Linked DNA regions of Saccharomyces cerevisiae S288C. The gene in region 2 interacts genetically with the main gene of each other region. Each region holds a gene or a part of one and is shown on either strand. Other genes may lie near its edges. The genes, in order: RNH201, ESC2, NAM7 and SLX1.

Region 1 (4,578 bases), on a different chromosome or scaffold from region 2:
TACTGGCGAATTTTATTTTCATTCTAACCTCACAATAGCATTTCCAAAGGATTTTCAATAACAGTTTTCAATTCCTTCATGAATTCTGCACCTTTGGCGCCATCAATGGTTCTATGATCAAAGGTCCCTGTTATGGTAACCTGGTTATCAAAGGAGAATCCGTTCTCAGCAGCGGCGTCTTCCACAGCGACCCTTTCAACAGTAGCGATGGCCAAGATTGTAGACTGTGGTGGGTTGATAATCGAAGTAAACATGTTAACAGCATTATTCATGCCCATATTGGATATGCAAATGGTCCCACCTTGGAATTCCTCTGGTGCCAATTTGTTTATTCTGGCACGCTTGACTAGTTCCTTGATTTCGTTAGAGATTTGCGACAAGCCCTTGGCCTCACAATTCTTGACAATTGGTGTCAATAATCCTGTTGGTGTGGCAACAGCGACTGAGACATCGACATTCTTGAATTTACGGATAACGTTCTCATTAGGTAACCAGTAGGCATTGGCATCTGGCACCCTCTTAGCCGCAACAGTGATGGCTTTTACTAATAGGTCATTAATGGACAGTTTGTACTTGTCGTTTGCTGTAGCGTTCAAGGACTGTCTCAATTTCAAAAGTTTGGAGATGGATATCTTGGAGGAAACGATGTATGATGGAATGCCTTGAGTAGATTGCAATAAACGTTCTCCAATGATGCTTCTCATGGTTGAAATTGGAACATCCTCATATGATGCTGTAGAAGAAGGCGATGGAGCAGAGCCAGCAGTAGTGCTTGAGGTAGCGGCGGCAGGAGTGGCGGCGGCAGCACCACTGGTTTGAGAAGACTGCTTAGACGACTTTTCTAGATATGACTCAATGTCAGCCTTGGTAATTCTACCGCGGGGTCCAGTGCCGTGAACATCCTTCAAAGAAATACCCTTTTCCAAGGCGATAGTCTTGGCAAGTGGAGAGGCAAAAATCCTACCTTGAGGAGCAGCAACGTCAGATTTCTTAGCTTCAGGTGCAGAAGTCTTGGTCTCTTCAGCTGGCGCTTCTTGTTTCTTTTCTGCCTGTGGTTCGGCAGGCTGAGCCTTCGTACTGGTCTTTGAATCAGAACCTGAATCCTCCAGCTTAAAGTCCTTAAAAGCTGGCACATCAGCTTTGTCCTCCACATAGACGGCAATAGGCTTGTTGACAGGAATGTCCTTTGTACCTTCAGGAACTAGAATCTTGGCTAAGTAACCATCTTCTTGGAACTCAAAGTCCATTTGAGCCTTGTCTGTTTCTATTTCGGCAATAACTTCACCGGGAGACAATTGGTCACCTTCCTTCTTAGTCCAAGCAGCAAGATTACCTTGCGTCATCGTAGGAGACAGTGCCGGCATACCAATAATGGTGTGCTCTGGGTACGATGCGTAGCATCTCAATTGCAGTCTCAATGATCTGGTGAGTACTGAACTTCTGGATATTCTTGGAACCACCCTGACAAAGGCAGACATAGTACGCTAATAACTATTAATTTTACTGGATGCAGTTTACAGCAATGGAAGATGTTGAGCGTGAACAAACAGGAAACGTAACAGCCTCTCTTCTAGTCGTTCCGGTTGGTTGTCTCGACCTCTTGTTGTTCTTTGCGTAACACGGGGGGTGAGAAGGGCCGGTCACGCTTCACGGATAGTAGAAACGGCAAAGCATAGTAGCAGATGACTTGTATGAGTTATTGAAGTTATGACATATGTAGTATTACATGAAGATATATAGTATGTGCAAACTGGAGGTGATCACCGGTACCAATTATCTAGGGTTCTCAGCCTCTTCCTTCTAACAGGCTTAGCGACCATCTGGAGCTGCAATTGCTTGGTTTTTTGTGCGGCGTTCTTCCTGCTGTCCATATATTGTTCTTCCCACTTGATAGGGATACTATTCTTACTGGCGTCATCTAACAGAGTCTGGCATGTCTGCCATGAGAATCTTACCATGTTGGCGGGCCAGCCCATAAGACTTGTCTGGTTGCGCTTCAGCCATGCGACTGTCTTCGGGTCGGAGGGGTATCCAGAACCCAGGATCTCATCGGGATCCCTCTTCAAGGATTCGACTAGTATATCTCTGGTCACTTTTGCAACGACACTCGCCACACTGACCATGCAGTAGAGCGAGTCTGCCTTCTTGGCGACCGTAAACTTGACACCAGGAAATCGTTGCTCCAGTTTCTTCTGATAGGACGCTGGTGGTCCAACAGTATCCACATACACGTGACTGAGCTTCACGTTCTGCTTTATCACGCCATCAATGAGTGCCATTGTGACATCGTGCGCCTGCTCATTCAAGTTATAGTTTCTCGTCGGTGGGAACTTGCTCATTCCTCTAGAGATATCCAACGGAGTGATGCACGTAGTTGCGTAGCCGATCTGGGTTAGTTCTTCGTTGTCCTGGTATATCTTGGAAAACAGCATTCTTCTGATGGGATCTGTAAGTTTTTTAGAGTCGTCAAACTCGTAGTTAGGGATTATAGTTTCGTCCTGATATTTCTGTGTAGAATAGGCTACTGCGTAGACCATTGGCCCTAATACGGGCCCTCTGCCAGCTTCATCGATACCCATTATTATTGGAGAGTCATTCTGTTCCAAGAGCGCGCTTGGGACAGGTGAAAAGTACGACTTAGTGTAAGGAGACTCCAAGGATGCTTCTACCGTGGGGGGTACCATTTAATCGTATCAATTTGGTGTGCAGTAGTTGTTTTCAAGGTTTTTCGACACTCTCATTAGCTATAACTGAATATTTATATTGGATTTTTCGCGTAGCGTAGTTTATTGGTGTAGAGAAAAAAAAAAAATTAAATGCCATTCTAATTATTTACAGTATATGTCTGATTTATTTACAAAAGCATTGGCAGGCGTCGCAAAATTTACTGCCTGTTTACATCATCCACACAGCCAAAGGGCAGAACCTCTTCTATCCTCTTCTTGTCGCAAAATAGCATGCACAATCTATCTATGCCAAGGCCAAAGCCACCTACTGGAGGCATACCGTATTTCATCGTCTCAACATACTGGTAGTCAATAACAGGCGATAAGGTCTCAGTTTTGTTTCCTGTCAATTCGTTAATCTGCTTTTGTTGTAGAAACTTCTGCAGTTGTAATTGGGGGCAATTTTCCTCTTCGTAAGCATTGATGTATTCCTTACCTTTGATGAAGACTTCGAATCTCTTCGTGACTTGCTTATTTTGCGGATCCGTCTTGGCTAAGGGCGATAATATTGCAGGTTGATGGTATATTACCGTAGGCAAGGTTGATTGACAATGGCGCTGCTCGAGGAACACGTCCGATAGTTTATTTAGGATTTGCAGCGAAGATAATTGCCCAGTGTTATCTGCAGAAGGAAAATACTTCTTCGCAATGTCTTTCGGTAAAGCCTTCAAAAGTTCGCTCGGCTTATTGATATCCAATCCAGAGTTCATTAGATCAATGCCAAGCTCTTTGTTCAAAGTGGGCAGGAATTCGACTTTTCTAAACTTCCAATTATTCTCGGATAGTGCCAGATGTAATTCACTAAACGTCTTAGGGACAGGCAGACGGGTATCTTGAAAGAACTTTTGCAAGTTAGTAATCAAAAATTTGAACAAATCTTCAGTCCTTGTGACTATATCGTCCATTGACATGTAAGTTTCATAGAATTCTAAAGTGGAAAACTCAGCATTATGCGTGGAATCAATGCCTTCGTTTCGAAAGACCTTTCCTATTTCGTATACTTTTTGTAAACCACTAATTATAAGCCTCTTCAGCCATAATTCTGGTGCAATACGCAACTCCAAATGGTCGAAGTCCTTGGACGACGTTATAAAGGGCTTCGCCATGGCACCGTTGGACTTTGATGACAGTATAGGCGTTTCAACCTCAACGAAGTTTCTGTCGTCGAGAAACTTCCTCAAAAGTTTGATGATACGCGCCCTTACTAGCAGTGTCTGAGTGCCGTTTAATTGGTAGTCAACAACTCTATTAGATTTGATCTTGGTTTCATCATTCAGTCTGGAAGGTAACGGCAGTTGCGAAACAGACAATACTATAGGTAGCTTATTACATATCAAGGACAGCATCTTGACTCTGGATTGGGAAAACCCGGGATAACCGAGCGCCTTAATATAATCTCCTTTCTTCAAAAAGTTCATATATTCTGAGAAATTCGCCTTATCCTCACTACTCCCACCAATTTTATTGTAGTTTACGATCAACTGCAGTTGCGTATCATTCTTCAATCCGCTACTGCCGTTGTAAAGATCTATAAAAACAATCTTCTGGCCTGAAAACCTAATGCTTTTAATCCTGCCATTAATACTAAGTAACAAATTAGGATTATCCTCATGGTGTAATGTGGCTGGGTTGCCCAAGAATCTCTCATTAAAGTCTGCGATAGTGACTTCTTTATACTCCTGGCAAAGATCGTGGAGTGCTGATTCTGACATTGACGGATAGTATCTACCCAGGTCCTTCACAATCTGACCGTTCCTCCTGGTTGCCTCCATCTTACTTGTGTCGACCGCGTGTGCCAGAGAATACGGCCTGCTCCTGCTACTTCGACACTTGCACCACAGCCATCTCGGTG
Region 2 (7,855 bases):
GCAACTGTACTGACGACTGTATCTTCAAAATCTGAATAGGCTGTTGAAACGGATAATATGTAGGAGTCATGGACTTGGTCATAAAATGAAGGCACTTCAGGATCAGTCAAGTCAAACTCTGCTACAAATCCGTTCTTAAAGCCACAAACAACAGTAGTAGGAGATAAAAAATCAAAAGTAGTTATCAAACTGTCTGCCAGGGATAAAGTCAAAGAAGGCTTCTCACACATCTTAAACACGTGAACATCGGTTGCATTATCAATAATTTCCAAAAAATTTATTGTCCCTTCCTGGCTTACGAATGATAAACAGCCAACCAGATGAGGTGCGTGACATCCTTCGTGCCATTTAAGATCCCACACTTCACCAAATGAGTGTACAATGGTTTGAACTTTTACGCAATGTAGAGTAGAAGTATTCATTTTGAAAATTTGTATACAGGAGGAGTGCTTCTCCTTGTCAAACATTTCTAAATGCTCGTTCAAAGGCTCATCCATGTACTGTGATACCGCGACGGCTAAATATTGTATATCCTTGCCTATATCAGTATTTTCCTCTATATTAAGCCATGCAATATCTGTTACCAATCCTCCTACGTTGTAAATAAAGCCGCGCCTTTTGCCGTTAGCAAGCACCGGAAACTCTATTTTATCGCCAGTGGATACCTCTGCATCAACTTCCCCGATAAGTAACTTCAATCTCTTCGTTCTCAATTTGATCATATTCTCAAATTCAGTCTTATTAATTTCATGATATACGGTTCTGTTTTTATCCCCTATGACTTTATTATATGCACTTTCCTTTTTACACGGTGGATCTAAGCATACAAAATATGGAGAATCAGGCTGAATATTCTTGAATGGGAAATCGAAAACGCTAGTTTCAAAGCCTTCCTTAACTTTTGCTAGCAACAATAACTTTTCCTTATTCAGTCCATAAATTCTTTCAATCTTGTCTCTTGCACTCGAAAGATCTTTTAGGAGCCTGATGGGACGGCCCTTCTGTCCTAGACTTGACCCTGGGGAGCTGCTCTTCATATTTTTAGTCGAATTCTTCTTCAAACGAAGTTTCTGTACAGTATTTCTTCTTCCACTGGGTCTAACAGAAGCTCCACTTCCACTACTGTTTAAATCCGCCACCTCATTTTTAGTAGACTCTAACTCATTCTCAAATTCTATCTCAACATTGTCACTTTCCTCACCATCACCTTCATCATTCAATACAAAATCATCATCGTCGGTGTCATCAACATTATTGACTTGTGTAGTATTTATCACATCATCGCGACCAGCATGCACTAATTGTGCGAAATTTGCAACTGCTTTCTTAGATGCGTTTCTCCTCGGCCTTTTACTGCCTGAGTTTTCAGATACTGGGCTTGCCAAGCTATCATAGGGAACTTCTGCTACCACAGATTTTCTAGGTCTTCCTCTTTTCTTTGCCGGTATTACTGCCATCGCCACAACTTAATATATTATTACACGTATCGCAATGGAGCAAGTTAGAGAAATTTCGCTAATGGATCAAAGAGTACTAGCTTTAGTTTTTAGGACATGAAACTGCTCTTACTGAGTAGAAATCAAAGCTTTAACAACTCATCCAGGCTTTCTCGAACAAAAAATGGAATGTTGTTTATCTTCTTTTGCAACGTAGGGTTTTCGAACCGCAGCTTTCCGGGTGATACTGAATCCCTTCTATTTCCTTACAGAAGACAGCAAATTTTATTGTAGCATATAAGAAAAGAAATGACAGGCAGAGGAGGGACCAGCATGCCTATGAATTCCCAATACCATATATCACTTTGACAGCGTATATCGCAATTGAAATAGAACAACTTTTCATTATTACTTCAGAATTCATTTTAAAGTGATTGCGAACACGGATTATAGCCCTGAACAATAAAAGGCAAGAGAAAAAATCATTTGTTTTAGGCTGTTAACAGATGACCGGTGATTCCAGAAGCATCAGCGAACCCTCAATTAATCTAGATCCAGATAATACAAGTTTTTCTGATGAAAACAGCGATGACTTCTTTATGGACAATTCCTATGATATAGATGAAATCGATCATAGCGATGAAAGTAATAGGCAAAGTGTCATAGTTGACTCTAAAGTCACGGTACCGCCATCAAAGCATTCAACTCTAACATTATCTGATAGTGAAGATAGCGACGCAAAGGAACAACATCAGTCCCTGAGCAGATCATCTAGTAAAAATGTAAATATAGAAGATATTACGGAGCCCAAGCCAGACAAACCATCGGGTCGAACTAGAGGAAGATCTGTGATGAAAGAGTCTGTAGTTGAAATAAACTCATCTGAATCTGACTTAGACGAAGACAAAAATTTTCCCAGATCTAGGTCAAGGTCCAGGTCAAGCATAAGATCAATATCTCCAGCGGGAAAATACAAGCGACAGAAAAGTTCATTACTGTATACCTATGATGAAAACGATGACTTTTTCAAGGAACTTGCTAAAGAAGCCAAAAAAAGCACCACTATTTCTAAAGAATCGACACCCGACCAGCGGAAGCGAGTTTATAACATCAAATTTCTCTCTAAGCTAGAAGGAACTATAAATAAAGCGGTCCAAGTGAAGGTCCTCGGAAAATACGAATTTTCAAAAATACTTCCTGCTGCTTTGGACGGATTGATGAAGTCCTATAAAATTCCGAAGGTAATGAAAGATATATACAAGGTAGAGAATGTTACTCTTTATTGGAACAATGCAAAATTACTCACTTTTATGACTTGTAATTCGCTACATATCCCACAGGATTTTGAAAATGAAGTCTCTGATATCGATGTTACTATCGTATCCAAAGAATACGAAAAGAACTTTGAAGCGACACTGGAATCAAAGTTAAAGGAAGAAGAAGCTGCTTTACTCATAAAAGAACGTCAGGAGATGGAAAGGAAGTTAGAGAAAAAGAGAAATGAACAAGAAGAGTCCGAATATCGCGAGTTTGAATCCGAATTAAAAAACGTAGAAGAAACACAAGAAATAAAAGAAAATGATACAGTTATGAATACAAAACTTCTGCAAGAGGGTGGCTCTTTGTCAGGAAATAGTAGTAGCATGGAAGAAGTTATGAGAATCGCTCTCATGGGTCAAGATAACAAAAAAATCTATGTCCATGTTAGGCGTTCAACACCATTTTCTAAAATTGCCGAATATTACAGAATCCAGAAACAGTTACCACAAAAGACGAGGGTTAAATTACTTTTTGATCATGATGAATTGGACATGAATGAGTGTATAGCCGATCAGGATATGGAAGATGAAGACATGGTTGATGTCATTATTGATTGAGCGCAATTTGCTAAAAAAGGCCGAACTCCGGCTCTTTACGTGCCACAATTATTATTTACTATGGGCGGCGGGTGTGTTGGTGGTGCTTGCGGTACTTGTAAAATATTTTCTGAATATAATTGAATAAGACCTTTTGTGTTTAAATCATACTCGGGTAATTCTCTGTTCAAAAAGTAGGTGCTGACCCTCTTCTACCTTCCGTGAAATATTATAAAGGAATTTTTCCATCTCTAACTCAACATGTTAACGCTTTTCTATAAAAATTTGATCGCCTAATGAATACAAAAATCTCTTCAGCTTTTTCGTGCTAGGTTTGAATAGTACATCTAACGTAGAACAACTATCAAAACAATTTGATATTTCCTCGGCTATAGTTTTCTTGGAACAAGAGGTAAACTACTTCTCTATTGTTGCTACAGCAGTCAATTAAAATAATTCGTTTCATCATAATATTATGATATCAACGCTAAAAGGTTGTATAAATTACGAGATCAGCAGAAAATAAAATTCAAGCCATCATCCTTTAAGGTGATTTGAAGGGCAAGAATTGGTAGTGTAACTGCATCAATGAGTGATTAGGTGAAAACGAAGAAAAATAATAAATATGGTACTGTGCAGAATTGTTGATTTTCTTTTTTGAACTCTAAACCATCAAGAATGGCTTTCACCCACTATTGTTACACATAGTACTATTACTTACACCAAGATGGGATCCGACAAATATCTCAACACTATATTGGTCTACATGCTTTATCGATTGCTCCTTATTTACGTATTTCTATAAATAGGGCGTACTTTACCAACAGTGATCATGGATGCAAAAAATGTGAATACATTTATATGGAAAAAAGGTTTATATCAATATATTTTAAAGTGATTGAAAATTACTGATGTGTTTGATATTGTTGGAATAAGAATCAACCATCATATACCCGACTAACGTTCATATTATTAGTAAACTATCATATACAACCTAAGAAGTTGACATAAAGATTGACAAGCAGTTACCATTTTTAGTAGAAGTTGAAAAGCAAGAATTGATAACCAAATATTGTTTTCCAACAATGCAATCCCAACCCTATCTCAATATTCATAGAATTCACTTATTTCTCAGTTTAATACATGATGATGCATCTTGATATTGAGAAATTATATGTATTATCCCTTTTTAACCTTTAAAAGGTCACAAATAAATAGCCTTGTTGGCGCAATCGGTAGCGCGTATGACTCTTAATCATAAGGTTAGGGGTTCGAGCCCCCTACAGGGCTAATAACACATTCAAAATGTTATAAATTTTTTTTCGGGTTTGTGTTTAAAACTAACCTTCTAAAGAAAACAATAAAAATTATATCAACATTTCCTCATGTCTTTGTAACCTACTAGTAGGGATTTTGAAGGGCTGAAAGCTTCTTAGTTCTGTCGGATCCATTATATTATCATTATTTACGAAACTAGTGCTATGGGTGGCGAACGTGGTGGGCGTTACCTTTTAAAGTCCTAATGGAAACCTACCTATGCATAAAGTGAATAGAGTGGCAATAAAAGTCGAATAATAGTACAAATACGCAAAAATATGAGTACGGACGTTGCTGCTGCACAAGCCCAAAGTAAAATAGATTTAACAAAAAAAAAAAATGAGGAAATAAATAAGAAGTCTCTAGAGGAAGACGATGAATTTGAAGATTTCCCCATTGACACATGGGCCAATGGTGAAACAATAAAAAGCAATGCTGTAACGCAAACAAACATATGGGAAGAAAACTGGGATGATGTTGAAGTTGACGACGATTTCACCAATGAATTGAAGGCCGAATTGGATAGATACAAACGGGAAAATCAGTGAGGGGCTACATAACATTATTTCTAAATAACGCAAAAGGAAATTATACGTCTAATGTTACTTTAGTACATTGTTGTCATACTAGTATATTTTGCTTAGATGATAAAATAAATAATAAAAAGAGATACGAAAGGCTATGCGGTAGTCGATTATATGGCCTTGTAGTATAATAATGATGCACGCAAAGTATTAAATAACTCAGCTGAGATTTCTCATTTCTTTAAATGCAGTCTCAGTTTAAAAAATTAACTATATTAAGATCCGCTCTTTCTACCATATGATGCAAATGTGTCCTCGAACTAGTACTTGCAATTTCAGGTAACCCCAATCGTTTCTTTATTATTGTCATTTTTACTATCATAATAATATCATCCGTAATAACAATTAAGTAACAAATCACATCCATGTAACCATTTAATTTGTTTCAAGTAACATTCCGAGTGAATAGCTAGTCACATACATATATCTTACCTGCCGCTCCGCTGCAAATGACTTTACTTGTTTCTTGAGGATGCCAGTCCACTTGAGTTATAGGCTTGTTGCCTGGAATCTTGATGTTATTTAATAAGCGCGACGTATTCCAATCCCAAGTAAATAGTCTGCTTTTTGAATCGCCTGAACATATGTAACGACCATCACCAGAAAAAGCCAAGCTTATCCCATAACCAGCAGATGAATGCCCTTTAAATATCTTTTTTGGATGCCTCTTATATTTGGGTTTCAAACTGAAAGAATATATTCTATTATCCATGCTTTGTGCACAGAAATAGTTCTGAGACGGATGTACATTTAAAAATGGCATAGAATGTTGAGCCGTGTCACTTATTTGTTTTATTGGTACATTGATCTGATTTTCCCAAATTCTTACCGTCTTATCCTCTGAAGAAGAAATAAACTTCGAACCATCGGGAAAATACTTGAGAGCCAGAATGCTACTTAGGTGATGATCATATGTCTGCACAAGACCTTGATTTTCTGAAACACGATCATCATAATGTAATATTTTCGAATTCGATAAACCTACAATGAACTCATGTGGGTTAGTGGGCCGAGATTCAACATCTGCAGGCGTTGAATTAAGGTGCAACCTGGTTTTCACTTTACCAGTTTCAGTATCCCAAATTTTAACGCTTCTATCAAAGGAAGAGCTCAAAAAAGATTGACAGTCTTCGGTGAATCGTAATGCTTTAATAGGCTTGTTATGACCTTGAAAATCTCGTAGGCATTCATAGTCATGGTAGAAATCCCAAATTTTTATAGTATGATCATTACCACCAGAGAGAATTAAGTGTCCAGTTTTAGGTAAGAATTTCAGGGCAGTGGTTCCTTCTGGATGCCCCGGATAATTACGTATAACTTTTTTTGGTAAGTAACACCGAAAGGATATCCTTTCCTCACGAAGATCAACATCGACGTCATTTGGTGGATATAAATATCCTCTGCCTTGATAGTCCTTTTCTGATTTACCATAAAAATGGGAGACTTCCTCTACCTCTATCTGTTCCGAATCTAGGTTGTCCTCAGCCAGCGCGTGCACGAAGATATCCTGATCTTCTTTCTGAGTTTCGCTGGCTTGTGAAGTTTCATCGTCACTACTTGACCAACTGCCCCACGGCCCATCTCCTTTGCGAGTTTTCCGTCTTCTTTTTAGTTCTGACTTTGTAAAATGTGATTTTCTCTTATGAATATTATTTGAAGAAGGTTCATACGAAGTATCTTCATGCAAATTACCATTTTTCTTTTCATGAACAGATTTGCCTTCGTCGAAGTTCAAATCAGAGTCTGAGCTTGTGTCATAACCGTCTACTAAACCCATTTCATCTGCTCTTCAAAGTACATGCCGTGTTTGTTGCACTATTTGGCCAAAAATAAAGGAAAAATTTCAAGATTTTTTTTTTACCTCATCTCTAGCAAGGACACAGTACTCCCTCGTAAATAAGACAAAATACAAAAAAGAAAATTCAAAGAAATGGTATTACAAGAACCGGTCAGAGAAACATTACGATAATTGATATCAACTACAAATCCAATGATGCATTCTTTATAATTGTACATATCTATTTGTATTCAAGTTTCATTTAAATACTATTTCATTGACTGCTTTAAACCTTTACCTTCTTGGATGATTTGCTTTTCTTTTTCAACTTGTTTACCAAGTTACCAATATCTTCATTATCATCTGCGTTATTGGTCATATTGTTTTCACTACCGCCAAGTTTTCTTTTCTTATTCTTAACACGTTTACTACGTTCTTTTAGGATTTTACTCATAGCTTGTGTACCTTTGAATTCAGGCTGGGTCGGGTCGATAGCAAAATCGTGATCTTCGAAGACTTCTTTAAATCTAGGATCTTCTAAATCAGGTGTAAAGGTGTCTTCAACAATTCTCTCTTTCTTTTGATACCGGCCTTTCTTGTGTTTTTCTTTTTCTGATCTTAAGATTTCGTTCATGTTGAAATGTGCTTTGTTATTTATTGTGCCCTGAGTTTCGGTATCATCATCATCATCCATTAAAAGCTCCAATTCAGCCTTTGATTTGGCATTCTTTTCGATCTCCTCTTCATCGTTAGTATGCTTTTTATTAACAGATTTCAACTTGCTTTTCTTATCCTTCTCCGACTGCTGTTTCAATTCCTTTACTTTCTGCTTTCTTGCTTTACGACGTTCCTTCTCTTTTCTTCTTATTTTCTCTATAGTCGTTT
Region 3 (5,122 bases), on a different chromosome or scaffold from region 2:
TACTCTTTTTTTATTTTTTTTTTTTCTTCCACTCAGCTATTAGATTATTTATTATTTTATTATCTGTGGTATCATTTTCTACAGCCATACCTTGATTTTAGTTTATTTTGTTGGCAGTTATATACATTTATCTTATAGAATACATATGCACGTATTAAACAATAAAAAGAACATAAGCAAAAATGAAACCTCGCTACAATAAAACTTTATTACGCATTGCAGTGCGCCGTAAAGAGTATTCATTAGAAGTACAATGGTAGCCCTATTTGGTTGCAACATGTTTTAGCAAAGAGATTAGTAGGCTAGGATATCAAGTCCATGCCCCTTTATCACATACTGTAATGATAGATGCACCTCCGGAAAAGTAAAAAAAGTTTTTCAGGTTACAATTGTGCAAATTGCGAGTCTATCTCGAATAATTTTGCAGCGCTCATTTCACGGTTGAGCCGTTTTGTATCACAAGCCAAGTTTAACATTTTATTTTAACAGGGTTCACCGAATTATATTCCCAAATTGCTGAAGTCTTTTGACAATTCATGCTTTTGTTCTTCTCTCTGTAACTCTCTCGCGAAGTTAGAGTTCAAATGAGAAGCCTCCTCCTGGTACAAATTTCTATCGTCAATTTCATTGCGATTTTGCTTTTGAGAAAAAGCACTTTTAAAATTCTCAAAATTCCAATATTCATTATTGATGTAAGAAGAAAGTTCTGTGTTGTCAACAAATGCATTACCAAAGTCCCCAATTTGACCACTGAATGACACCATACTCTGTGCATCAAAATCCTGGAACTTCGGAAAGTCACCCATTTCAGATTCTACGTTAAATTGAGCGTTCATTGGCCGTTCAGTCTTTCTTGGCTGAGGACGAACTAATTGAACAGTGCATAACTGTAAGTTATCCAACGTACCTTCGACTAAACAACCCTTCTCTCTGAAGTGGATTAACAGATGGTTCCATAATGTGTTTCTTGCCAAAGATCTAGGATTACCAAGAATAACTAGACCATATTTGGCACGGGTTAGACCCACGTTTAGACGACGAGGATCACGTAAGAAACCAATGGCCTGTTGTTCATTGGCACGAACACACGATAAGATTATGTAATCCTTTTCACGACCTTGGAATGCATCAACTGAGGCAACTTCCACTTTGATATACAAATCCTTATCCAATGAACCATTCATTTGCATATATTGTAAAATATAAGCTCTTTGTCCCTCATATGGTGTGATAACACCAATTTGCTCGGGCTTGACACCGTCTCTGAAAAGTTTAGTGATGATTCGTTCACAATTCATGGCTTCAATTCTGTTTAAGAAGGAAGTACCGTTAGCAGAAATCTCCTCTCTACCGTAATTGGCCCAAAACATCATTGGTATACCGCGAATTGGCCATGGGAATTTGCTGTTGGGAACGGTACGCTGTTCAATCGTTACACCATTTTGTAGGCTGCCTTCATAAAACATGTTACTTGGAAACTCACTCAAATAAGGATTCATACGGTATTGAACTTCCAAACGAATCGGTACGTGGCCTAGAGAGATTAATCTTTCAAAGAGAGATTGTTTCAAACCAGCGTCTGCCGCCTTTCGTTCCAATATGACTGGGCCCAGTTGCTGGTGATCACCAACAAGTATAACTTGTTTCGCACCTTTAACGATTGGGATTAAACATTCCGGCTCAGAAGCTTGAGTACTTTCATCAATTAACACAGTCCTAAATTTAGTGTCTAAGCGCTTATCACCAGCACCAACACATGTGCAACATACGACATCTGCCTTATTGAGAATTTCTGCTTCTGTTTTCCTTACTAATTTAACAAACCGTTTTGTATCAGAAGCAGATAATTCGCCAACTTCATCCTTTAACTTTAATAGGTTTTTTAATTCCCCTTTAGCACCACGGCCAACCAAATTATGCAATGCTAAGTTGGAGACGGAACTCTCCACATCTTCTCTACTTTTCGCGGTAAGTCTAACAACTTTTAAACCCAAGTCACGTAATTTGGCAGCCAAATGATCTACAGCAACGTTTGATGGGGCACACACCAATATTCTATCCTTGTGTATTTTGGAAAGGTGATACACAATCGTTGCTGAAGTAACTGTTTTACCAGTGCCTGGTGGGCCTTGAATTAAAGATAACGGACGTTGTAATACATGACTAACAGCGTTCGACTGGGATGAGTTTAATTGTGCAAAATTCGGAATTGAAAACTCCTTAGGTAATGGGACATCAAATGAAATGTCAACCACTTGATGGCCTAAAATTTTATAGTACAAATAACCTGAAATAGATTTTTTATCAATGGCAAATTTTTTCAATGCGTCTTGCATCCTGTCATAAGAGGTACCTTTCCAGATGAACTCAGCAGTAAAACCAGTGGTCAAATGTGTTGGAGGTGGCGTTTTACTTGGTTTTAACTCTAATGTGAATGTGTCCTGGAAGCTATTTGGTAACCGAACAATGTAACCACGACCTTCCCAATCAGGATGTTGCATGCCAGAGTACCATAGTATCATTTCATCACCGATGGCAACTTTCAACTCGTTAGATTCGAAAGTAGATAAAGTGAAAGATGCTAAATGCCTATTATTTAAAGCTAAGGACCATGAAACAGAAATATGTTCTAAAGCTTGAGATTCCTTGAGTTGTTTATCATAGTCGGCCTCCAATTTGATTAAAGGCCCGTAAGATCTTTGGTATTCGTAGGCGTCTTGATATCTCAATAGTAAAGGTGGGATTGCTTCCTGTTCCTCTGGGGCGTCAATATCATTAATTGTAGCGTCTTTATTGGATCTCCATTTTGCCTCCAACTTGGAAATTTGGCTAGGAGTGATTAAACGAGCTTTCAATTTTTCTTCTTCAGTTGGTTGCTCTGCGACCCATGATAAAAGTTGTCTGTCTTCAATTAATGGTTGCCATTGATCAGTATCCCAGTTCGCATTTTTCGTCTGGGCACAAGGTATTCTACAAAGTAAAACAACCACGGCCTCACTTTTAGCGGAAACAAATCCCAATAAAAACACGTTCTTACGTCCACAGTTATAACATTCCAAAACGGTATCCCCTAAGTCAGAATCTGGATGTAAAGAAACTACGTTATGGTGGGATAAAACTAAGTGATTAACAATGTGGGAGCTGCTTGTACCGTTTTTAGTGTTACAAAACCATTTCTTACATGAATTACATTTGATGACACACTTTGCAGAATCTATACCACAATACGCACATGAATTGTCTGAAGCTGAAGGCGAACGGAATCCAGTCTCAGTGACTTGAGCCTCTTCAAATAGCTGATTATCTACATCGTCATCCTCCACCAAGGTGGAATTTAGTTGTGTTGCGGGTTGGACATTTACATCAGATGGAGAGTTTGATATATCATAAGGAGTGTGAGAACCGGAACCGACCATTTGATAATGACAATGATTGATGTAATATAAAAAGTATATTCGGTCTTGCTGCCCTTCCTTCTTTCCTGATGAAATCTTCAACGTTTGTTGGCTGACAAGAGAAATAGAGTCTTCTGTTAGTGTGCGTTAAAACGATGCCTCTTTTCGCTTTTTTTTTCTCCTTCACAATAGCATCGTAAGTTTCTGGTAAGCTTTTCATTTGATCAGTTAGTACGAAAGCGTATAAAGGTGTCCCTCCCAAATCAAGTAAGCAAAGGGAAACTGATGATACTAAAATAATGTAAATTAAGATTAAACTAAAGTTAAAAGTAAAAGCATTCACTCGTTTAATATTATTGAGTGGATAGTAACTAACTATGTATATTTTCTTTTTGTTTTTCTTATTTCCCGTTCATGAATTCATTAAAAGTTAGGCGAATTACGGAGTTCGCCAGATGCATATGTTTCGTTTTCAATTGGAGAATGAACTCGCTAGTGACAATTTTATGAATGATTTTCTCCTGGGATTCCTTTCCTCCAGGCAATTAGAAGTGTGAGGACTAGATTCTTCGTTAGAAGAAGCCACACTAGTATTCAATGAACTATTGGAAGGAGATTTCACCAAAGAGTTGGAATACGAGTTGTTTCTAGTCTGCAAGGGAGAGGAAGAGGAACCATTGGAAAGAAGCGAAAAGGATTCTCTTCTTAGATTTGATGGCGTTCGTTCTCTGTGATAGTGGTTAAGGTTTCCACTGTGACCTGGGACGTTATTTGATGATATTTTCCCATGGGAAATCAATTTTAGTCGATTATTCTTTTCGTTGGAGAGATAAGACGACGGATATGCAGCCGAACTTGAATTCAGATTCAAATACGAGTTGGAATTCGAGGCGGGTGTTGAAACAGATGTTAATGGGGAAGTGAGATCATTTGACTGGTCGTTAGCTACTGCTAGAGAGTCTAGCTCGGATGAAACGTATTTTTCAAGGCCGTATAGATGTGTTGGTATACCGTAACAGGAAGAATGCCTGGATCTTGGCTTTATGCATTTGTGGTCAAAACAGGAATCCGCCGCGTCGCCCAAGGAAGACTGTCTTGTGGATTGTCTGGACAACTGGTGAATGAGGGTGCTACTATTTGCTCTTATTCTTCTTGGAGAAGGGCGAATTGGTTCATTGGAATTGTTCGTTGAATTTGCTGGGACGAAGCCATACAAGTGATGCGGAGCTGTCTTGATTTTTCTCAAATGGTGGCCAATAGTATGATTGCCTATGTGTCTGCTTGTATTACCGGCATTGGTACTGCTGCTGTGGTGAGAATTATTTGATTTCGAGGAATTTTGAAAACTAAAGGACGCTAATTTGGAATTTACAAAATCATTCAAATCATTTGAACCTAAAAAACTTTGTACGTCTGTTTCATCTTCATAATCACAATCTTGACAAAATGGATCTTGTACACCTCTTTCAAAAATTTCTGAAGCAATCATCAAAATACAGCGACTATTTCTATTCTTTGATGTTTTTTATTCCACTGAGGAGATAATTATTCAAACTGAAATATTTTACGCAAACCTTTCTATTTATGTGTATTACCTTTAATCTAAGTGGTTGTAGCTCATACACTTATTATAATTGGTAGAGAAAGAAGAAAAGAAAAAAAGACAAATTTAAGTAGACTTGAATAAAAGTAAGATAGAAAGAGATGTGAGATTTTCAGATGTTTGC
Region 4 (7,243 bases), on a different chromosome or scaffold from region 2:
CCCCTGATACCGAGGGACGAGCCGTTGGAGATCTTTATGTTGATGATGGAGAAACTTTTGGCTACCAAAGAGGTGAGTACGTAGAAACTCAGTTCATTTTCGAAAACAATACCTTAAAAAATGTTCGAAGTCATATTCCCGAGAATTTGACAGGCATTCACCACAATACTTTGAGGAATACCAATATTGAAAAAATCATTATCGCAAAGAATAATTTACAACACAACATAACGTTGAAAGACAGTATTAAAGTCAAAAAAAATGGCGAAGAAAGTTCATTGCCGACTAGATCGTCATATGAGAATGATAATAAGATCACCATTCTTAACCTATCGCTTGACATAACTGAAGATTGGGAAGTTATTTTTTGAGGGAAAAAAACGAAGTGATATCTTTACATCTTTTTAGCTCTTTCTTACAAAGTAAACGTAAAAATATCCGTAAATATAACATATAACCATTATCTATAGAAAAAAAAGAACCGAAAATTGTGTCAGGCCCTACTTCCCGTGAGCTAACTTCATTCTTGTCGAAAACTTGACTAGGGTCGTCCAGTCGCAAAACATATCACATTTCGGACATTTCCCACCTCGAGGTATCAAATTTCTTCTCCCTACCATCAACTGTTCATCATCTAGAAAGTACCTGTGAAGACATTTCAAGTGGTTAACACACCCACAGTCTTTATTATTGCAAAGCGCTACAAACGGCTTCAGATTTTGCTCTTCAGACGTGTAGTCAATTTCTTTCTCACAAATTTCACATCGCACTACCCCTGTAGTTAGTTTCTTTTCGAAAGTTTCGAATATGTTTCTTTCATTTTCAATGACTTTAGTGTATACAGCTTCCACCACTTTTAAATTCTCATCACTATGATCCATGAGAACATCCACAGTTTTCTCCTTTGGTTCTTCAAGCGCATTTTCATTTATTTGTATATTAATCGGAAATCTGTCTCTTTCAATAAAAAATTTGTCCTGTTTCCAAACCTCCCAAGCCTTTATATTAAAAACCTCGACTATCAAGTTCATCCTTTGAAAAAATTCATGCTTTAAAAGTAACTTCATTAATGCAACTTTGTGATGTAAAGTTCTTCCACCTGCTTTATGCTTTACAACACGATCTTTTTCGGCAATATAATGCGTTTGGTACCCATGTTGCCATGCATGTTCAAACTGTAAAGCTGCTATCTTACTTGGGAAGCCCCGCACAATCATTATCATTTCCCAGGGCCTTGAACCGTCACGTTTGGTTCGATATGCCCCTCCAACAGCCAATTTCCCATTATGCTGCCTCAAACGTCGTACTGGGTTAGGAGTTGATCCAACGTAAAATGATTGCCTCTTGTTAATCGATTGTAGTAGATAACAACAATAAAAATCAGGAAACTGATGCTGCTGTATTTTCTGCGACATGGTACCTTTCTTATCTTTTTAATATTTTTTGAAAAAAGAGAACATTAATTTGACAATATTTTTTCGATGATAGAAGGGAATAAGTCATCAGTGGTATATATTAAAATTAAAAAGAAAAGCAAACGGCTCATCAAACAAAACCATAGAAGACAAGGCACTCTAATTACATTTCACACTCATGTTGAAATCTGCAAGCCAAAACTTTTTTAGAGCTTATTCTAGTAGAATTGGTCGATATGCTGCTACAGCATCAGGGAAACTGGCACAGTCTCGTTTATCGAATATACCCACTCCAAAAGCATTGAAGAAATTCCTCGATGAGTACATTGTTGGTCAAGAGATTGGTAAGAAGGTTTTAAGCGTGGCAGTTTATAATCACTATTTAAGAATCAATGACAAGCAAAAGAAAGGGGAATTACAAAGGCAGAGAGAATTGATGGAACGAGAGAAAATCGCGGATGATAGGGATGAACCAATTTTCAGTGGAAACAGCGAATCAAAGGCTGGTTGGAGGAATCTTCAAAGACAGTTTAATTTAGCAGGTAGAGAGGTTGACGAAGATTTAGAGTTAAGCAAAAGTAATGTCCTTGTCGTTGGTCCCTCAGGTTCTGGTAAGACTTTGTTGGCAACAACATTGGCGAAAATATTAAACGTTCCAATTGCAATTACAGATTGTACACAATTGACTCAAGCAGGTTACATAGGTGAAGATGTTGAAGTATGCATTGAAAGATTGCTCGTAAATGCTGAATTTGATGTTGCGAGAGCAGAAAAAGGTATTATTGTTCTTGATGAGATTGATAAACTAGCCAAGCCTGCCGCAAGCATTGGCACTAAAGACGTGTCCGGAGAAGGGGTTCAACAGTCATTATTGAAAATCATTGAGGGCCATAAAGTGGAAATTACCGTTAAAAGGCCTGTTAAGCATGATATTGACGGACAAAAAAATCAAACTACAACAAAGAAGGACGAAGTATTTGTTGTAGACACTTCAAATATTCTTTTCATGATTATGGGAGCTTTTGTTGGTTTAGATAAGCATATTGTTAAAAGGATAGAAGATATGAAGAAAATACAGAAGGCAGGAGAGTCTGTTGAATCATCGAATAGTAAAGAAGTTGAAAAAGAAAGAGCGAAGAAGTTCAGATTTAGCAATACGCTTGAGCAGGTTGAATTAGATAACGGAAAAAAAGTGTGTGCTTTAGACTTGACCACCCCCACAGATTTAGTTAGCTTTGGTCTAATTCCTGAATTAATTGGCAGAGTCCCAATTATAACTGCTCTGCAGCCTCTACAAAGAGACGATTTATTTCATATATTAAAAGAACCTAAAAATGCCTTATTGGATCAATATGAATATATTTTTAAGCAATTTGGGGTAAGATTGTGTGTTACACAAAAGGCGCTAAAGAAAGTTGCTCAATTTGCTCTCAAGGAAGGAACTGGCGCCAGAGGGTTGAGAGGGATAATGGAAAGACTTCTGCTAAACGTTAATTATGATTGCCCGGGTTCTAACATAGCATACGTTTTAATCGACGAAGCTACTGTCGACTCGTTACAGGAAACAGAGCACTCTTTGGCTTCCCAAGTGGACGTAAAATACTATTCTGGTGATGAAAAGGACAGTTTAATTCGTGACGTTTCTGAAGAAGATAAAAAATTAGGAGTTATGCTAGAAAAAGAGTTGGGTCATTCTGCTAACATTCATACCCCAACAATTCCCAAGAGAAGCTTAACATAAAAAAAAATGAATGGTATAGAATATATAAATATAGATGTAATAAATGTAGTAAATGAACAAATAATCTTCCTACAAAGTACTATGCCATGGGAAGTAAAAAAAATTAATAAATATTGGCTAAAGTGTTTCAAATTGGTTCTACGATACTGGGAGACTACTCCTTATCATAATGCTTTTTGTCCAGTAGTAAAAATTGAAGTAATTCTTGAACAATTTAAAAAAAAATTGGAACGGCGGCACAATTATTTGGTATATGGCAGCTTTGGCTTTTGCGCCACCACATACAAAGTTCTAAAGCAGCCAGCGTTGTCATCGATTTTTCCTATGTGTTCTTCCACATATCTTTTGAAAAGAGTGGTGGGGTCGGTATCCTTTGGAGGACAACTACTATCTGGTAGTTGCCTCCTTAACATGTAGTCCCACATATCTAAAGAATTAAATTCATTCAAAAAGCCCATATCTGTTTTGAAGTCACCAGTTTTCAAACTTAGGACCGAGGACTTGATGCCTGTAAACCCTACATCCTTGAATGTCCTCGTTAAGTGTTTTGTAGGATGGATATGTAAGCCTTTATTTATCGCATCAATAGCCATAGCATCAAATGTCTTGTCCCGTTCTTTTGTAGTCAAAAACTCTTCTGATGAATTATTTGCTTTTTCGGCATCGGCGTTGCCAAGAATTCCAGTATAGTATGTGTTTGAAATCCTTAAATCTGGAACAATTGCCAGCGCGTACCCGCCAGGAATTATTGATCTGTATATTTCCCTAAGTAGAGCTTTCCATTTATAATAACTTAAACTTGTCCAGACCCACGGGCATATTACAGCAGGTATAGTGTCTGATGCAAACGGCAGTCTTAATTTTAAATATTCTTTACCATAAATAGCTGCGCTTTTTGCCCTGTCAAGTCCTTCATTTGGAAAGGAGTTATCCGAATTAGAGGATATTGGTGATGACAAAGGTGGTTCATCTTCAGGCTGAAGTTGTGCATTAGAGGACCTCTTCACTTCCTTTGGCAAAATAAATTGGGTCGGTAAATCGATTTCTTTGTAGTTGTTCAAAGTCCGGCAAAAAAAATTCTCCAACCATTCATTTTGATGTGCTTGGTTGGCTGATTTGACATGGGGAGCTTTCTCTGTCCGAGGGGGACTAGAGATATGTGACTGTGGTTGAATTTTTGGAGAAGAAGAAGAAGATATGCTAGGTGAAACTGAAGGGCTTGTAGTATGTGAAGTTGATGCAAGTTGAGAATGCTTTCTCTTGAAAAAGTTGACGAAACCAGATTTTTTAGTAGCCTTGGTAGGGCTCTTCTTCCTTTTGACAGCATCTGCTCCCGAGGACGGCAATGATAAAGATCTACTTGAAGCGAATTGGTCGTTTAGAGGGTCTTCCTCAACTCCCTGATTGAAGTTGTTTCTAGAAATACGTTCTTTTGCATCATCTGTAAAGAACTTTCTATTCATGCAATCATACATATACTCTGAAGCATTGGAAGAATTCAATTCGATAACTTCTTGTTCGTCAGAAACTATTTTCGCTCTTGAACCCTTTCGTGGCAAATAATTTTGTAAGTTTGTTAAATACTCAGGAGCAATTTCACTAGCATTCTTATTCTGAGCGTCATTGTCACTGCTGTCAATCATCCAGGGAGATAAATCTAATGCGAAATCTGCGATGTTCAAGCTTGGTTCATCATACGCCAGCTGCCAACCGCCCAGGGTTTTATGCAGCGGTCTTATTAATAAGATGTCAATTTCGTCTAATGGATCCGATATTACTGGCCTTGGAGAGTTTGCTTCTATATCTAACTGCTGAATATATAATGTAGGGTCACTGATCTTGTTGCTGGTGGTGCTGATTGTTGGATTAGAATGTTGTCTTGTGGTTGGTTTTCTTTTTATTAGTTCCTCCACTACTTCAGATGAAAAGAAGAATGAATTTGATTGCAGTAAAAATTTTTGAGATTGAGCCAACCATAATTGAATCAAGGATTCAATTTCAGAATAATCTTTTAACGGGTCAAACGATGGAAAGCATTTAACCTCAGTCTCTATATTTATGATGTTTTCAATGTTAAATGGATAACATTCAAATGCATATTTCCTAGATTCCAAATATTTTGTTAGGAAATCAATGTACGACCGTAATCTTTTCTTGGCAAATATTAAAGAGTCTTCTGGCGAGGAGTCCATGTTAAAAGATAGAAACAAGTCCATTCTATTAAAGAGCTCATTATGATTCGGGTCGTACATTATTTGTTTGAATTCACCGTCTATGCAAATGTTGATTAAATTATGATTTCCTGAAACGGTTTTGATTAGAAGAGAAGAATCTGATGCCGGTAAAGTGTTCCAGTCCCATTTTTTTCTAGAATGGAGTTTCTTGACAACGTTCGAAGTTGCACCGTGTAGACCACCACCTCCCCGGCCATTGCCGACCATATTGGATACAATGAATCGCGGTGCAGAAGGGTCTGGTGAGTAATTAGCTTTCACTTCGGAAGTCGGAGTTCCGCTTCTATGACTATGTTTATTATTACTTGTATGATGATGATGTAGACCTATTTTGGAAAGCTGAGCGGACTTCAGTTTGGATACTGAGGATGAGGCAGCGGAGTCAGATGATCGTCTTGACGAGTTTGAGAACAAGTCATCCGCCAGTCTAAAGTTTGGCAAATGTAAGGGCGAATCAAAGGACGAGAGCTTATCTGAATGATGGCTTACTTGTGGTGAGTGTGATTCTACTGAACTACTTGATTGCGTGGTTCCATTTCTACTCTCTTTTTCTTGTTTCCCCTTTTCTTTGTCAGCATTTTTATGTTCAGTAATCATTGAACTTGTATGGTTATCATGTGCTTTTAAGTTGGAAATTTTGTTACTGGTTATACTGGTTAACCCCCTATCATTCTTACTATCAATGTTTTTTGCTTCCTTATTGGAGCCCATTGTATTTACTTGAGCAGTTTATAAAAAGTGGATAAATGAGGGGAAAAATAATAAAAAAGAAAATTGAACAATCCTTCAATATGTGTCCTTTAATAATTACTACTACTTTACACACTTCTCCAGTAGCTGCTGCTTGTTTCAGGTGATGTGAACAACGTGTTTCAGCGTTCTTGGTAAGTGTTGGTATGGATCCCTTCTGATGTATTTTCGGCGGCCGCACTAAACTGCGAAAATGGTAATTTAATAAAGGGCTTATAAAGAGGAAAATAATGCAGAGAAACGGTGAGCCCAGACAAGAATGATGATAATGTGTTTTCAACCGATCATTAATGTCACGAGAAACAAATTTCAATGGAACTAAGAGGAAGAGGTCGGATGTTGCCGAGAAAGTAGCACAACGGTGGAAGAGCGTCAGGTATAGTGCTGAAATGGAGAATATGGCTCCGGTCAACAGTAACAATGATAGCGACGACTGCGTCATAGTCAGTGAATCGAAAATCATTGATTTGACTAATCAGGAACAAGATTTGAGTGAGAGAATAGAAACAAACGATACGGCAAAAGGTGCCGTTTTTAAACTAATGAAATCGGACTTCTATGAAAGAGAGGATTTTATGGGAGAAGTAGAGGATATGATTACATTGAAAGATATCTTTGGCACTGAGACACTAAAAAGAAGCATACTCTTCAGTTTCCAATACGAACTTGATTTCTTGTTGAGACAATTCCACCAGAACGTAGAGAACATAACCATCGTCGGCCAAAAGGGTACTATTATGCCTATCGAAGCCCGTGCTATGGACGCGACACTGGCAGTAATATTAAAAAAGGTCAAACTTATTGAAATAACGATGCCCCCATTCGCTTCCCACCATACGAAGCTGATCATAAACTTTTACGATAATGGCGAATGCAAAATATTCTTGCCATCTAACAATTTTACGTCAATGGAGACTAACCTGCCTCAACAGGTGTGTTGGTGCAGTCCCCTTTTGAAAATAGGTAAAGAAGGGCTACCAGTACCGTTTAAGAGAAGCTTGATAGAATACCTCAATTCGTACCACCTGAAAGACATTGACGAATTGATTACAAAAAGCGTAGAGGAAGTTAACTTTGCTCCTTTGAGCGAATTAGAATTTGTA

The links.
Region 1: mutations in ESC2 (region 2) and RNH201 together harm fitness more than expected from each alone (negative genetic interaction), as found in Saccharomyces cerevisiae (6 studies listed by BioGRID, with this or other methods).
Region 3: mutations in ESC2 (region 2) and NAM7 together harm fitness more than expected from each alone (negative genetic interaction), as found in Saccharomyces cerevisiae (5 studies listed by BioGRID, with this or other methods).
Region 4: mutations in ESC2 (region 2) and SLX1 together harm fitness more than expected from each alone (negative genetic interaction), as found in Saccharomyces cerevisiae (8 studies listed by BioGRID, with this or other methods).

The regions. Positions count from the first base shown.
Region 1 is NC_001146.8:488,423-493,000, reverse strand, and holds RNH201 (ribonuclease H2 catalytic subunit RNH201), read right to left. Parts: upstream 2,685-4,578; coding exon 1,761-2,684; downstream 1-1,760. Other genes in the region: LAT1 (dihydrolipoyllysine-residue acetyltransferase), read right to left, coding at 30-1,478; lysine--tRNA ligase MSK1, read right to left, coding at 2,885-4,578.
Region 2 is NC_001136.10:1,197,241-1,205,095, forward strand, and holds ESC2 (Esc2p), read left to right. Parts: upstream 1-1,942; coding exon 1,943-3,313; downstream 3,314-7,855. Other genes in the region: transcription factor TFIIIC subunit TFC6, read right to left, coding at 1-1,457; proteasome regulatory particle lid subunit SEM1, read left to right, coding at 4,888-5,157; CDC40 (Cdc40p), read right to left, coding at 5,603-6,970; pre-rRNA-processing protein ESF1, read right to left, coding at 7,257-7,855. UniProt on the Saccharomyces cerevisiae protein: May be a substrate targeting component of a cullin-RING-based E3 ubiquitin-protein ligase complex RTT101(MMS1-ESC2). Involved in HMR and telomere silencing via the recruitment or stabilizing of the SIR (silent information regulators) complex.
Region 3 is NC_001145.3:426,212-431,333, forward strand, and holds NAM7 (ATP-dependent RNA helicase NAM7), read right to left. Parts: upstream 3,417-5,122; coding exon 501-3,416; downstream 1-500. Other genes in the region: ISF1 (Isf1p), read right to left, coding at 3,868-4,884. UniProt on the Saccharomyces cerevisiae protein: RNA-dependent helicase required for nonsense-mediated decay (NMD) of aberrant mRNAs containing premature stop codons and modulates the expression level of normal mRNAs. Also capable of unwinding double-stranded DNA and translocating on single-stranded DNA.
Region 4 is NC_001134.8:669,485-676,727, reverse strand, and holds SLX1 (endonuclease), read right to left. Parts: upstream 1,416-7,243; coding exon 501-1,415; downstream 1-500. Other genes in the region: glucan 1,3-alpha-glucosidase ROT2, read left to right, coding at 1-371; MCX1 (Mcx1p), read left to right, coding at 1,594-3,156; YBR225W (uncharacterized protein), read right to left, coding at 3,399-6,101; TDP1 (tyrosyl-DNA phosphodiesterase 1), read left to right, coding at 6,431-7,243. UniProt on the Saccharomyces cerevisiae protein: Catalytic subunit of the SLX1-SLX4 structure-specific endonuclease that resolves DNA secondary structures generated during DNA repair and recombination.